Linked DNA regions of Ovis aries. The protein of the gene in region 1 binds, or shares a complex with, the protein of each later gene. Links are inferred from orthologs where the notes say so. Each region holds a gene or a part of one and is shown in the gene's direction. Other genes may lie near its edges.

Evidence for each region. The genes of interacting proteins can lie anywhere in the genome.
Region 2: DDX39B (region 1) and TTF2 share a complex: the UniProt entries of both Homo sapiens proteins name them as parts of the spliceosome. The link is inferred for Ovis aries from reciprocal best matches to the Homo sapiens genes DDX39B and TTF2.
Region 3: DDX39B (region 1) and THOC1 share a complex: the UniProt entries of both Homo sapiens proteins name them as parts of the transcription/export (TREX) complex. The link is inferred for Ovis aries from reciprocal best matches to the Homo sapiens genes DDX39B and THOC1.

What each region holds. Positions count from the first base shown.
Region 1 is NC_056073.1:26,828,457-26,832,692, forward strand, and holds the start of DDX39B (spliceosome RNA helicase DDX39B), read left to right. Parts: upstream 1-1,436; 5' UTR 1,437-1,663; exon of another isoform or gene 1,664-2,326; intron 2,327-2,689; 5' UTR 2,690-2,819; coding exon 2,820-3,030; intron 3,031-4,209; coding exon 4,210-4,236. UniProt on the Homo sapiens protein: Involved in nuclear export of spliced and unspliced mRNA. Component of the TREX complex which is thought to couple mRNA transcription, processing and nuclear export, and specifically associates with spliced mRNA and not with unspliced pre-mRNA.
Region 2 is NC_056054.1:94,512,640-94,515,715, forward strand, and holds part of TTF2 (transcription termination factor 2), read left to right. Parts: coding exon 1-61; intron 62-1,658; coding exon 1,659-1,733; intron 1,734-3,076. UniProt on the Homo sapiens protein: DsDNA-dependent ATPase which acts as a transcription termination factor by coupling ATP hydrolysis with removal of RNA polymerase II from the DNA template. May contribute to mitotic transcription repression. May also be involved in pre-mRNA splicing.
Region 3 is NC_056076.1:35,627,473-35,630,438, reverse strand, and holds the end of THOC1 (THO complex subunit 1), read left to right. Parts: intron 1-633; coding exon 634-781; intron 782-1,481; coding exon 1,482-1,557; intron 1,558-2,059; coding exon 2,060-2,355; 3' UTR 2,356-2,466; downstream 2,467-2,966. UniProt on the Homo sapiens protein: Component of the THO subcomplex of the TREX complex which is thought to couple mRNA transcription, processing and nuclear export, and which specifically associates with spliced mRNA and not with unspliced pre-mRNA.

The sequences.
Region 1 (4,236 bases):
TTAAATGAACTCTGTGATGATAGGGCTGTTCATTGCTATGTACCCAGATCTTAGGCTAGCACTTGACGCAGGACTGGCAGTTGATAAATGCTATTGAAAAAAAGATATTGTGTGTTGGAAAAACTGCCCTTCTGTAACATCATCCTTGAATCACTGTTATTTCTTTTGGCCACAGAAAACGAGCCTTGAACCAGTGAGGTTATCTATAGGGTATTTATTAAGCACTCTTTAATCAGGGAGACAGGATACAGTAGAGAATAAAGTGGTGTCTCCATTCTGGCTCTGTCACCTTGCTAGCTGTATTACTTTGGACATGTTTATTTCTTTGAATCTGTTTGCTTGATATAGAATGGGAATAATGGTACACCTTGGTGTTAAATGGTTAAGTGATAATAGGTAAAAGGTCAAACGTTTGTTATCAGTTTTGTTAAGTCACATTTGACTTCTGTAGCATATAAAAGTGAGGCGGGAGATATCAAATGTTTCATTCAGGAAAAATATCCAGGATGAACCAAGGGAGGGGTTATTGGGTAAAGGGTTAAGCACATTCTGGTTGAAATAACATTTATTAAAATGTTACGTAACACTCAGGTTTCCCTGGTGGCTCAGTAGGTAAAGAACCAGCCTGCAATGCAGGAGACCTGAGTTCAACCCCAGGGTGGAGAAGATCCCCTGGAAGAGGGCATGACAACCCACTCCAGTAGTCTTTCCTGGAGAATCCCATCGACAGAGGAGTCTGGTGGGTCTGACACGACTTAGCGACTAACCCACCACCATGTAACCCTCATGCCCTAGTATTTATCGTTAACACTTGGGGCAGAATCTAGACCCCCAGTCCTGCAAGCAGTGGCTTCAGAACACCTTCCTAACTTACAGCCCAAGCCCACGGCCCTTAGGACATCAGATACATCAGCCAACCATTACTTTGGGTAAATGCCGTTCCAAGGCTGGGGAAAAGGTAGGGGGTAGGTTCCGTGAGACCTATTCACTATCTACACCTGGGGCTGGCCATTCCCTAACTCCAGCGCCAGCGCCCCCAGGTCACCTTGACTACCGGGCCAAGGACCCCGTGGGAAATCGAAGTCCCGCCAGCTTGGGTCCTCCTGCGCCCAGAGGAGGGATGCCCAGAGAGAAGACCTGAATGGCAAGAATCTAAATGAAGAGAGAGGCGCGGAAAAGAACTGGACACGCGGAAAAAAGATAACAATGGGAAGGATTATAGTTTCCTTGATGCATTTTGTTACTGGTAGTAGCAAAAGGGTAAGAAGTGGCTTAAAAATTTTTTTTTCACGCAGGCATTTTCTAAAGGCAACCCTAGAACGAGCAGAACTACACAACCGTAGAAGGCCCGTCTTCCGGTTCTTTGCGCCTGCGCGCTCGCATCAGCGAAGGCGGGAGGCCGGGTGGAGGGAAAACCGGGAACCGGAAGTGAAGGCAGATTCCCTTCTTCGTCGCTGTTGCCGCCGCCATACGTCTTTGCCTTGCTCAGGTAAGCTTTGGGCCTTCGGCACCATCCGCCTCCATCTGCGTTTCTCTGCGGCCATCCTGTCGCACGAGCTCCTGATAGCCCTTGCACAGGCCATGATCTGGTTGTTGGAGTCTGATTGGGTCGTTAGTTCCATCGCTTGCATCTTTTTCGAGATGAAGAAACTTTGGGGGGGAGGTAGGGAAGCTAGGGGGGCCCAATCCAAGATGGTGGCCCCGGCGCCATTGTGTTTTCTTTGCTTCTCGCTCCTTCGGTGGCCCCCCTCGATTACTCGAGGCCCCAGTGACATTGAGAGGCGGCGCCAGGCGTCCTCTGGTCCTGGGTATTTGCGGAGGGCGGGGTCTTCTCACTTTCCCGCTTATTTCTGGGTCCTCGGTCCGCGGCGGGAATAGGAAGAGGAGCCGGCTTCTAGGCCTACCTGGACGTTTCTCGGCCCGGTTTGCCCACCGTTATTTGGAGCATTTCCTAAATGTTTACGAGTGGTGTCATTGTGTGTTTTTCGGAAACGAGCCATACCTAAGGAGTGATGGAGGAGTGGGTTTTTTTCTTCTGGCCGAGACATTCTTTAGCCCCCACCCTCCTCCGCCACCACCGCCGAAGGATTTTTTACGCGCGAGTGTGAGGTGTCTGAGGAGTGGGAGACTGGAGTGTTGGGAGAGGTGGATGGCAGCCATATGATGTTTCCATTTTGAAAAGTGAGCGCTTTGCTCAATGACGACCGTAAATCTATCACCCTTGACTGATGGCTGCTGTCCACACCTTGAGATTATCGGGAAAGCACAAGGTCTTTCGTTGAGGATTTTTCATTTTGTCACTTAACATTCTCCAGTCTTGTAAATTGTTAGTAGCAGTCTGTTTTTTATGTGTCTTTAATTTTTATCCTTACTGCTGTCCTGGAGCAGGAATTGAGAAGCTGGCCTGGCCTTCCTAGCTTTCCGGTTTCTGCTTCTCCGATCCTATCTTTTTGGGAACCTATGTCCTAATCGTCACTCCTGGGAAACACACTTTTCCCATTCCGTGTGTTATGTTTACCTTTTGTTTCTTTGTCTTGTGTTTTTTTGTTACTTTTTTTCCCCCTTTGTTACTTTTGTTTCCAGGTACATGTGTCGGTTTGGGGAAAGGAAGAGTGTGGGGATGGACGGGATAGATGGTGAAGGCTCTACTCATGACTGATGTCTTCTCCCTGTTTTTCCCCCCTCCCAGCTCTTCTGTCAGAAACTAGTGTGTTTCTTTTCCTCTTCTGTTCCTCAAGCCCCCACTCTCCTCCTCTTGTCTTCCTTTATTCTGCGCTAACCCATCCGGAGACCCTTCCCCTTTTCCTGCCGGCCCAGTTATGGCGGAGAACGATGTGGACAATGAGCTCTTGGATTATGAAGATGATGAGGTGGAGACGGCAGCTGGGGGAGATGGGGCTGAGGCCCCTGCCAAGAAGGATGTCAAGGGCTCCTATGTCTCCATCCACAGCTCTGGCTTTCGTGACTTCCTGCTCAAGCCAGAGTTGCTCCGGGCCATTGTTGACTGTGGCTTTGAGCATCCATCAGAAGGTAAATTTCCTGTTGGGCATGGAGTACTCATTGGTGCTTTAAGGATACAAGAAAACAGATAATAGCCATGGTCCCTTACAGTTTTATATATAGGATAGATCAGGAAATAAGTACCAGAACCTATTTCAGCAGTAGAAGATGTTTATATAGGTTTGTCTTTGTTCATGATAGTATGTAAGTGCTAGTGACTTCAAAGCAACTTAGAGTGGCTTTTCTCCTTGTCTCCTTGTTTTAAATTTTGTCTTTTAATTTAAAATTTCCAAAGAGGAGCTGGTTGGACCCTTGGATCAAATCACCTCTGGTCTCTGTAAACCTTTATGGCTGGTCTAAAGATAGCTGTCTTTTGGGTCAAGTACTAAGTTCTTCCCTGGTGGCTCAGACGGTAAAGCGTCTGCCTGCAATTTGGGAGACTGGGTTCAATCCCTGAGTCGGGAAAATCCCCTGGAGAAGGAAGTAGCGACCCACTCCAGTACTCTTGCCTGGAAGATCCCATGAACGGAGGAGCCTGGCAGTCTATAGTCCACGGGGTCACAGTCGGAGAGATGACTGAGCAACTTCACTTTCACCGGGTTCTTCATTTTGCCCAAGGTTGCAGAGTTATGTCACCCAAAGCATGACAATCTAAGTAGGAGAAGTAGCCTGTGACAGGCCCTCAAAAGTCATGGATTGTTACAGATTAAGGAGCATTGGGACAGAGGAGCACCTAAGATGACCGATTGGTAGATGCCCAGAGGGTTGATGGCAGGACTTTGGGCCCTGGAGTTAGAAGAGGCTGATACTAGAAGAAACTGGGACGGTCTTGATTTGGGAATCACTTTGAGGGACTTCCCTGGTGGCTCAGACGGTAAAGCGTCTGCCTACAGTGCGTGAGACCTGGGTTTGATCCCTGGGTCAGGAAGATCCTCTGGAAAAGGAAATGGCAACCCACTCCAGTATTCTTGCCGGGGAAAGCCCATGGACAGAGGAGTGTGGTAGGCTGCAGTCCATGGGGTCACAAAGAGTTGGACACGACTGAGCGACTTCACTTTCACTTTGATTGAGAGAGCAGAGAGAGGGTATAGAAATTGACAAGAATTACTTAAGAATTGAGTGGTGAGAAATGGGTTTGGCCTGGTGCAAAAATGTGGTGGAGTTCTCTGGAGATTGGAGTCTAATTTACCTTTTCTTCCCTATTTCTAGTCCAGCATGAGTGCATCCCTCAAGCCA
Region 2 (3,076 bases), on another chromosome or scaffold:
CTGGAGGTGTCGGTCTAAACCTGACTGGAGGAAACCATCTTTTTCTTCTGGACATGCACTGGTAACAATTATGGGTTTTTCTTGAGTTGTCCCTGCATCGCAGGGAGACCAGAGGGGCAGTAAAACCTGACCTCATATGAGTGTGTTCCTTTCGTATTGTGGAGGTGCCTCTGTGCATACGTGTGTACAGATACAGATCAAAATGGTGTAGGCTGAGTTGATGGCCCTGTATTCCTGACCAAGGAAGGATTCAAATGACTGTTTAAAATAGTTTCTTCACTTTATTGTTAACCTGATGTCTGTTTCCATGGAAACTGGGAGTAGGGCTTTTTCTCATGGCTAAGAGCTACTTCACTCAACGAAGAGTTTTCTCTCTTCAAAACACCGTATCTCAGACATACTTGTTGAAGTCCAAGGAAATCTCAGCATTGGCAAAGAATGAGAACCATTACTCCTAAAGGAAAAGGCAAAGAAATTTTCTAATTATGTTAGATACATGCTTAACACGTAGCCTTGGACTCACCACTCATAGTGTCAACACCAGGAGCATAGCAGCGTCCTTCTTAGGTACGAAGCAAATGATTCGTGTGTTGCTAGGAGAAAGTATCATAATCTGTCCCAGTTTTGCTTTTTCAATGATGCCAGTTAGGGATTGCTGCTCCAGGCACCGTTGCCAGGGATTGTCATTTGTTCTCCAGGCAGCCAGATGGGCACAGACAGGCCCACCTGTTGCTGTCTTCCTGGAGAATGTGTTTAGGTCTTACTTGGGACCCCTCCCACCCCCATACATGAGGAAAGCAGAATTGGAATCATGCTGGCTTCTGAATTGGAGAAATGTTATTCAAGTTTTTAAAGAGGTGAGATGAGAAACTAGTTTGGAATTGAAAAGGAGAATCTAGAAAGAAGGAAACAAATTAAGTCTCCTTATTTGAATCATAGAAAGTTAAAAGTTGAAGAAGGCGTTAGAGAGGACTTTCCTGATGGTCCAGTAGTTAAAAGATTTTGTCTTCCATCGCAGGGGGTGTGGGTTCAATCCCTGTTTGGGGAGCTAAGATCCCATAAGCCTTGCAGCTAAAAAACCAAAACATAAAGCAAACGGTATTGTAGTAAGTTCAATATAGACTTTAAAAGTGGTCCACAGTTAAAAAAAATCTTAAAAAAGATAAAGGCATTAATGATCATTTGCCAGCCCTCTGATTCCCAAGCCTTTTAGGTTATGGTTAGATGACTTGCCCAGAGTCATCCAGCTAGTTAATGATTGGATTTGAGCATCACTTTAGCCTCTGTTACCTATAGTTTTCAGCTGATGGTGGTGCTAAGAGTTCCTGTTGGAGGCAGATCTGAGCCCAGTTTCTCATGAGAGGGGAGGAAGACATCTGGGAGTCTCCAAGCCCCGCATACGCTAGAACAGAGATCTACCAACTTTTTCTATAAATATTTTAGGCTTTGCAGATACATAGGTCTCTGTCACATATTCTTTTTTGTGGATTTTGGTTTTAATTTTTTTTTTTTTTTTACAAACCTTTAAAAATGTAACAACTATTTCAAACTCAAGAGCCATACAGAGACAGATTACAGGCTGGATTTGGCCTGTGGGATTTGCCTGCCCCTTGTTGAGGATATCAGTTCCCCTGAGTTCAAAACCTGTCTTCTCACAGGAATCCATCACTTGAAGATCAAGCTTGTGACCGAATCTACCGAGTAGGGCAGCAAAAAGATGTCGTCATACATAAGTAAGTATGTAAAGGTCTCCTGGGGCCAGGATCTGCTCCTGTGAAAATCTTTCTTAGTAGTGTTTTAACAGAATGTAAAGTATTTGGTGGTCACTGTACTGATGGTTTTTGTGGGGCTCATCCTCCTTGGCACTCATGGTCAGGAAGGGAACACTAGCAATTTGAGGGTAACCTTGGAGCTGGTCCCTGCAGAAGAAAACTTAAGTACAATGATGAGCCTTATCTCAGTCAAGGCTGCCCATGAAAGGACCCTCCTCTCTCTCTTTCTCTCTCTTTCTTTCGCTTTTATTTCGACATAACTTCAGACATAGAAAAGAATGTAGGAATTCTTACAAAAATATCCCAGAGTTCTCGATTGTAAGAATAATACCAAAAGATTCCTGACTGCTGTGACATTTGTGTGTGTGTGTGTAAGCTTTTTTCTGGACCATTTGACAGTAAGTTGCAGACATGATGTTCCTTTACCTCTAAATACTAAAATAGGCACTTTCTAAAAATGACATCTCTTACATAATCACAATAAAGTTATCAAAACCAGGATGTTAACAATGATATAATACTATCATCTGATCTATGGACCTTATTCAATTTTGCCACTTGTTCCAGTGATGTCCTTCCCACAAAAGATCCTGCATAGCATTCAGTTCTTCTCACTCTCTTGTCCCCTTTAATCTGGAACAACACTTGGTCTTTCTTTGTGTTTTATGACCGTGACATTTTTAAAGTGCACAGGACAGTTATTTTGAATGTCCCTCTACGTGAGACCCTCCTCTTTTTAAAAACAATGATAGAACCTGCCTTAACAGTGCAATCCAGCCCAGTTATGGACTGCTTTCCTTCATCTTCATGGCCAAGTTTCTTGAAGAATTAGAAATCATTGTCTCTCTTTACTTATTTCCCATTCATTCCTCAGCCTGTATGAACTGGCTTTCACCCCTGTCACGTCACTGAAGCCGCTCTTGCTAACGGGACCAATGAATTCCAAAATGTGCCAAGTACAGCAATTGTGTCCGTTGTTCGGTCTTTAGCTCTCTTCTCAGCTTGCTTTGTATGCACCTCTCTCAATAATCCTATCTACTCCAGCAAGTCCAAAATCTATACCATCAGTTCCAAGGTCTCCTCACCTTCAGGCCCAGATATCCAAATTCCCACAAAATGTATGAATCGGTGTCCACATCCACACCCATTATTCATCTACTCATGGATTTATCTCATTCATCTCAAAAAAATGAATACCTATTAGGCTTCCCAGGTGGCTTAGTGGTAAAGAACTCTCCTGCAATGCAGGAGACCTGGGTTTGATTCCTGGGTTGGGAAGATTCCCTGAAGAAGGTAATGGCAAC
Region 3 (2,966 bases), on another chromosome or scaffold:
GATTTCTGGAACAGGATCTCTAGTCTTTCTTGCCATACTGTGTACCACCTGTTACTGCCACAGTGGAGCATCTGGCAGATTCTGTTCTTGGTGTCGGTGTTTACGGTCTAGACTACTGGCTGTGTCCTATCCACCAAGGTTGATACTGAGCAAATGAAAGTTTGAACGTTATATAAATTTCTTTAAAAAGCAGATAGTACATTACAGGGTGAAATCTGTTGGGTTTATAAAACATTCTGAAGCTCACAGCTGCAGGCAGCACTGCCAGTGAGGATAGAAACTCAGTGAGCCTCTGACTGTCTTTGTAAGTGGTGAGGCAGATGGCATCTGTCCTGCACACACAGCATCTGGCCAGTCCTGGACGCCTACTAATTGACCTTTAAATGTCTGTAAACTTTTAAAATGCATTTGCTGCCTATGAACCTGCCCCTTTGGACTCTGCTGGTTTCTATTTGTAAGTGAACTGCATGCTGAAAGGTTCTTTAGGGCTACGGTCAGTGTGAGAAGAATGGTGCCTTCAGCTACTGATCTGAGTGTAGAGTTTCTTCTGGTGAACTAAGTACATTAACTAGAAGAGAATATAAAAATTATAAATAACTATATAAATCACAAGATTGATGTCTCTTTTTACAGGGCTGTGAACAACTCAAATTATGGTTGGAGAGCCCTAAGACTGTTAGCACGGAGAAGCCCTCACTTCTTCCAGCCAACCAACCAGCAGTTTAAAAGTTTGCCAGAATATCTCGAAAACATGGTAATAAAGCTAGCCAAGGAATTACCAGTAAGTAGGAGTGATGAGTGTTTTATCCTTCAGTTGGTGTTCTCTTCTTTTGTAAAACTACTGTTGCTGTTTGAGCTAAGAGCTGAATTTCACTTTGATCATGTGGAAAAAATATGATCCACAAACCCCGTTGTTTCAGAATGAGGAAATGCCTTTGAGTATTCATTTATAGGAAGTATCAATACATAAACTGGTGAAGTAACTTCACGTGCTGTATTAAGTTGTTATACTTTGGTTACTCTTCCTGTTGGTCAATGCATCCTACTTTATCACAGGCAGGGCCCATGGGGTGGGGGTAGGCAACTTGGTCTATCTTCCTACTCTGTTCTCTTTTCTAATACAATATGGCAATAACTATACTGTATGCAAGCAACCAACAGTTACTCAGAGCATGTTGTCAAGCACATGGTTGGTCCCCGGTCTGCCCTAGATTGTTGTTACCACGTATGTGCTGGGCACGTGCAAGTCATCGCACCAGGCTTCCTACTGGCTCCCTTCTTCCCAGGCTGGGGTGAAGGGGGTCCTTCCAACCTCTGGTTGTCCCCGTCCTTCCTTCTCCAGGTTAACACTGTCCCACTGTGATCCTTACCTGATGTTCATGTTTAACATTTAACTGCAATCTCTTATCTAAGATCAAACTACCCGCACTTCTCTGATTTTAGAAGTTGGTACTCTAAGACATTCCTTTTACTCATTGTAGCCTCCTTCTGAAGAAATAAAAACAGGTGAGGATGAAGATGAGGAAGATAATGATGCTTTACTGAAGGAAAATGAAAGTAAGAATTGAATTTTCTTGGCTATTTTACAAAATTGGAAAAGATTGGGGTTCTTTGTTGAGAGGTACGTTATTTGATCTACTTCTCAACTTCTGTTTATCTCAGCTCTGTTTCTTATAGTGAGGAATCTAAAGCATTGCTTGATAACAACTTTTCCAATAGTGCATTTTATACAATAATATTAAGTGTTGGGAAGGAGAGCACTTACATTTGAATGCACCTCATACTTCTTAATTCTCGGGGTTCAGATTGGGGGCTGCTGGTTTCAGGGGAAACCTTCATGATTATAACACAGGCACCTTCATGATTATAACACAGGCAACAGCTTTAGTTTTACATCCCTAATGATCATAAGAATTCAACCAGGGGAAATATAAAAAGGAACTGTTCTACTTTTAAAATCAAGCTTACTGAAGTCTGAGTGGCCCCGTGTCCCATTATGGGCTTTGACTCATACACATCCTCGCATTTTGTTCGTAATTACTTCCCCTGTGTTTTCTAGGTCCTGATGTTCGTCGAGACAAACCTGTAACAGGGGACCAAATAGAGGTATTTGCCAACAAACTGGGTGAACAGTGGAAGGTCCTGGCTCCTTACTTGGAAATGAAAGACTCAGAAATTAGACAGATCGAGTGCGACAGCGAAGACATGAAGATGAGAGCCAAACAGCTGCTCGTGGCCTGGCAGGACCAAGAGGGAGTGCACGCAACGCCCGAGAACCTGATCAACGCGCTCAACAAGTCTGGGCTAAGTGACCTTGCAGAAAGTCTAACTAATGACAATGAGACAAACAGTTAGCTTCGTCCTTTTATTATTATTATTAAAACTGTGATAAGGTTTTGTTACCAAGCAGCATTTGATAAGAGGTCCACTGGTTTTGGTAAACAATAAACATTTTTATAACAGTTGTACAGTTGGCTGGTGCTCCACGAACAACAGAATGTTTGTTGGCTCTTGATGACTGACCTCAGGGTTTAGGGGGAGAAGTTGGGGAAATGGCCAGAATATTTTTGTTAATTATATATGTGTAAGTCAGTTAGCAATGTTCAGGGGCATGGTGTTCCCTGAATGCCATGAAGTTACAGAATTTAACTTGCTGAGAATCCCGCAATACTACTTTCTGAATCTGCATGACTGCTCTAGTCTCATATATGCTTTAAAGCAGAGGATCAGCAAACAGTGGTCCATTTGCCACCTCTTTCTATAAGTAAAGTGTTTACGGCACAGCCACACTGATCCTTACTTAAGTCCTTCCTACCTATGGACTCCTTTCATGCTACAAAGGTACCTACAAAGCTTAAAACGTATGAAAATATCTGGCCCACTACAGAAAAATGTGCCAACCCCCAAGCTTAAAAGAAAAGGGGTGAAGTATAAAACCTAATTCTTTTAGCCTTACAGGACTTAGG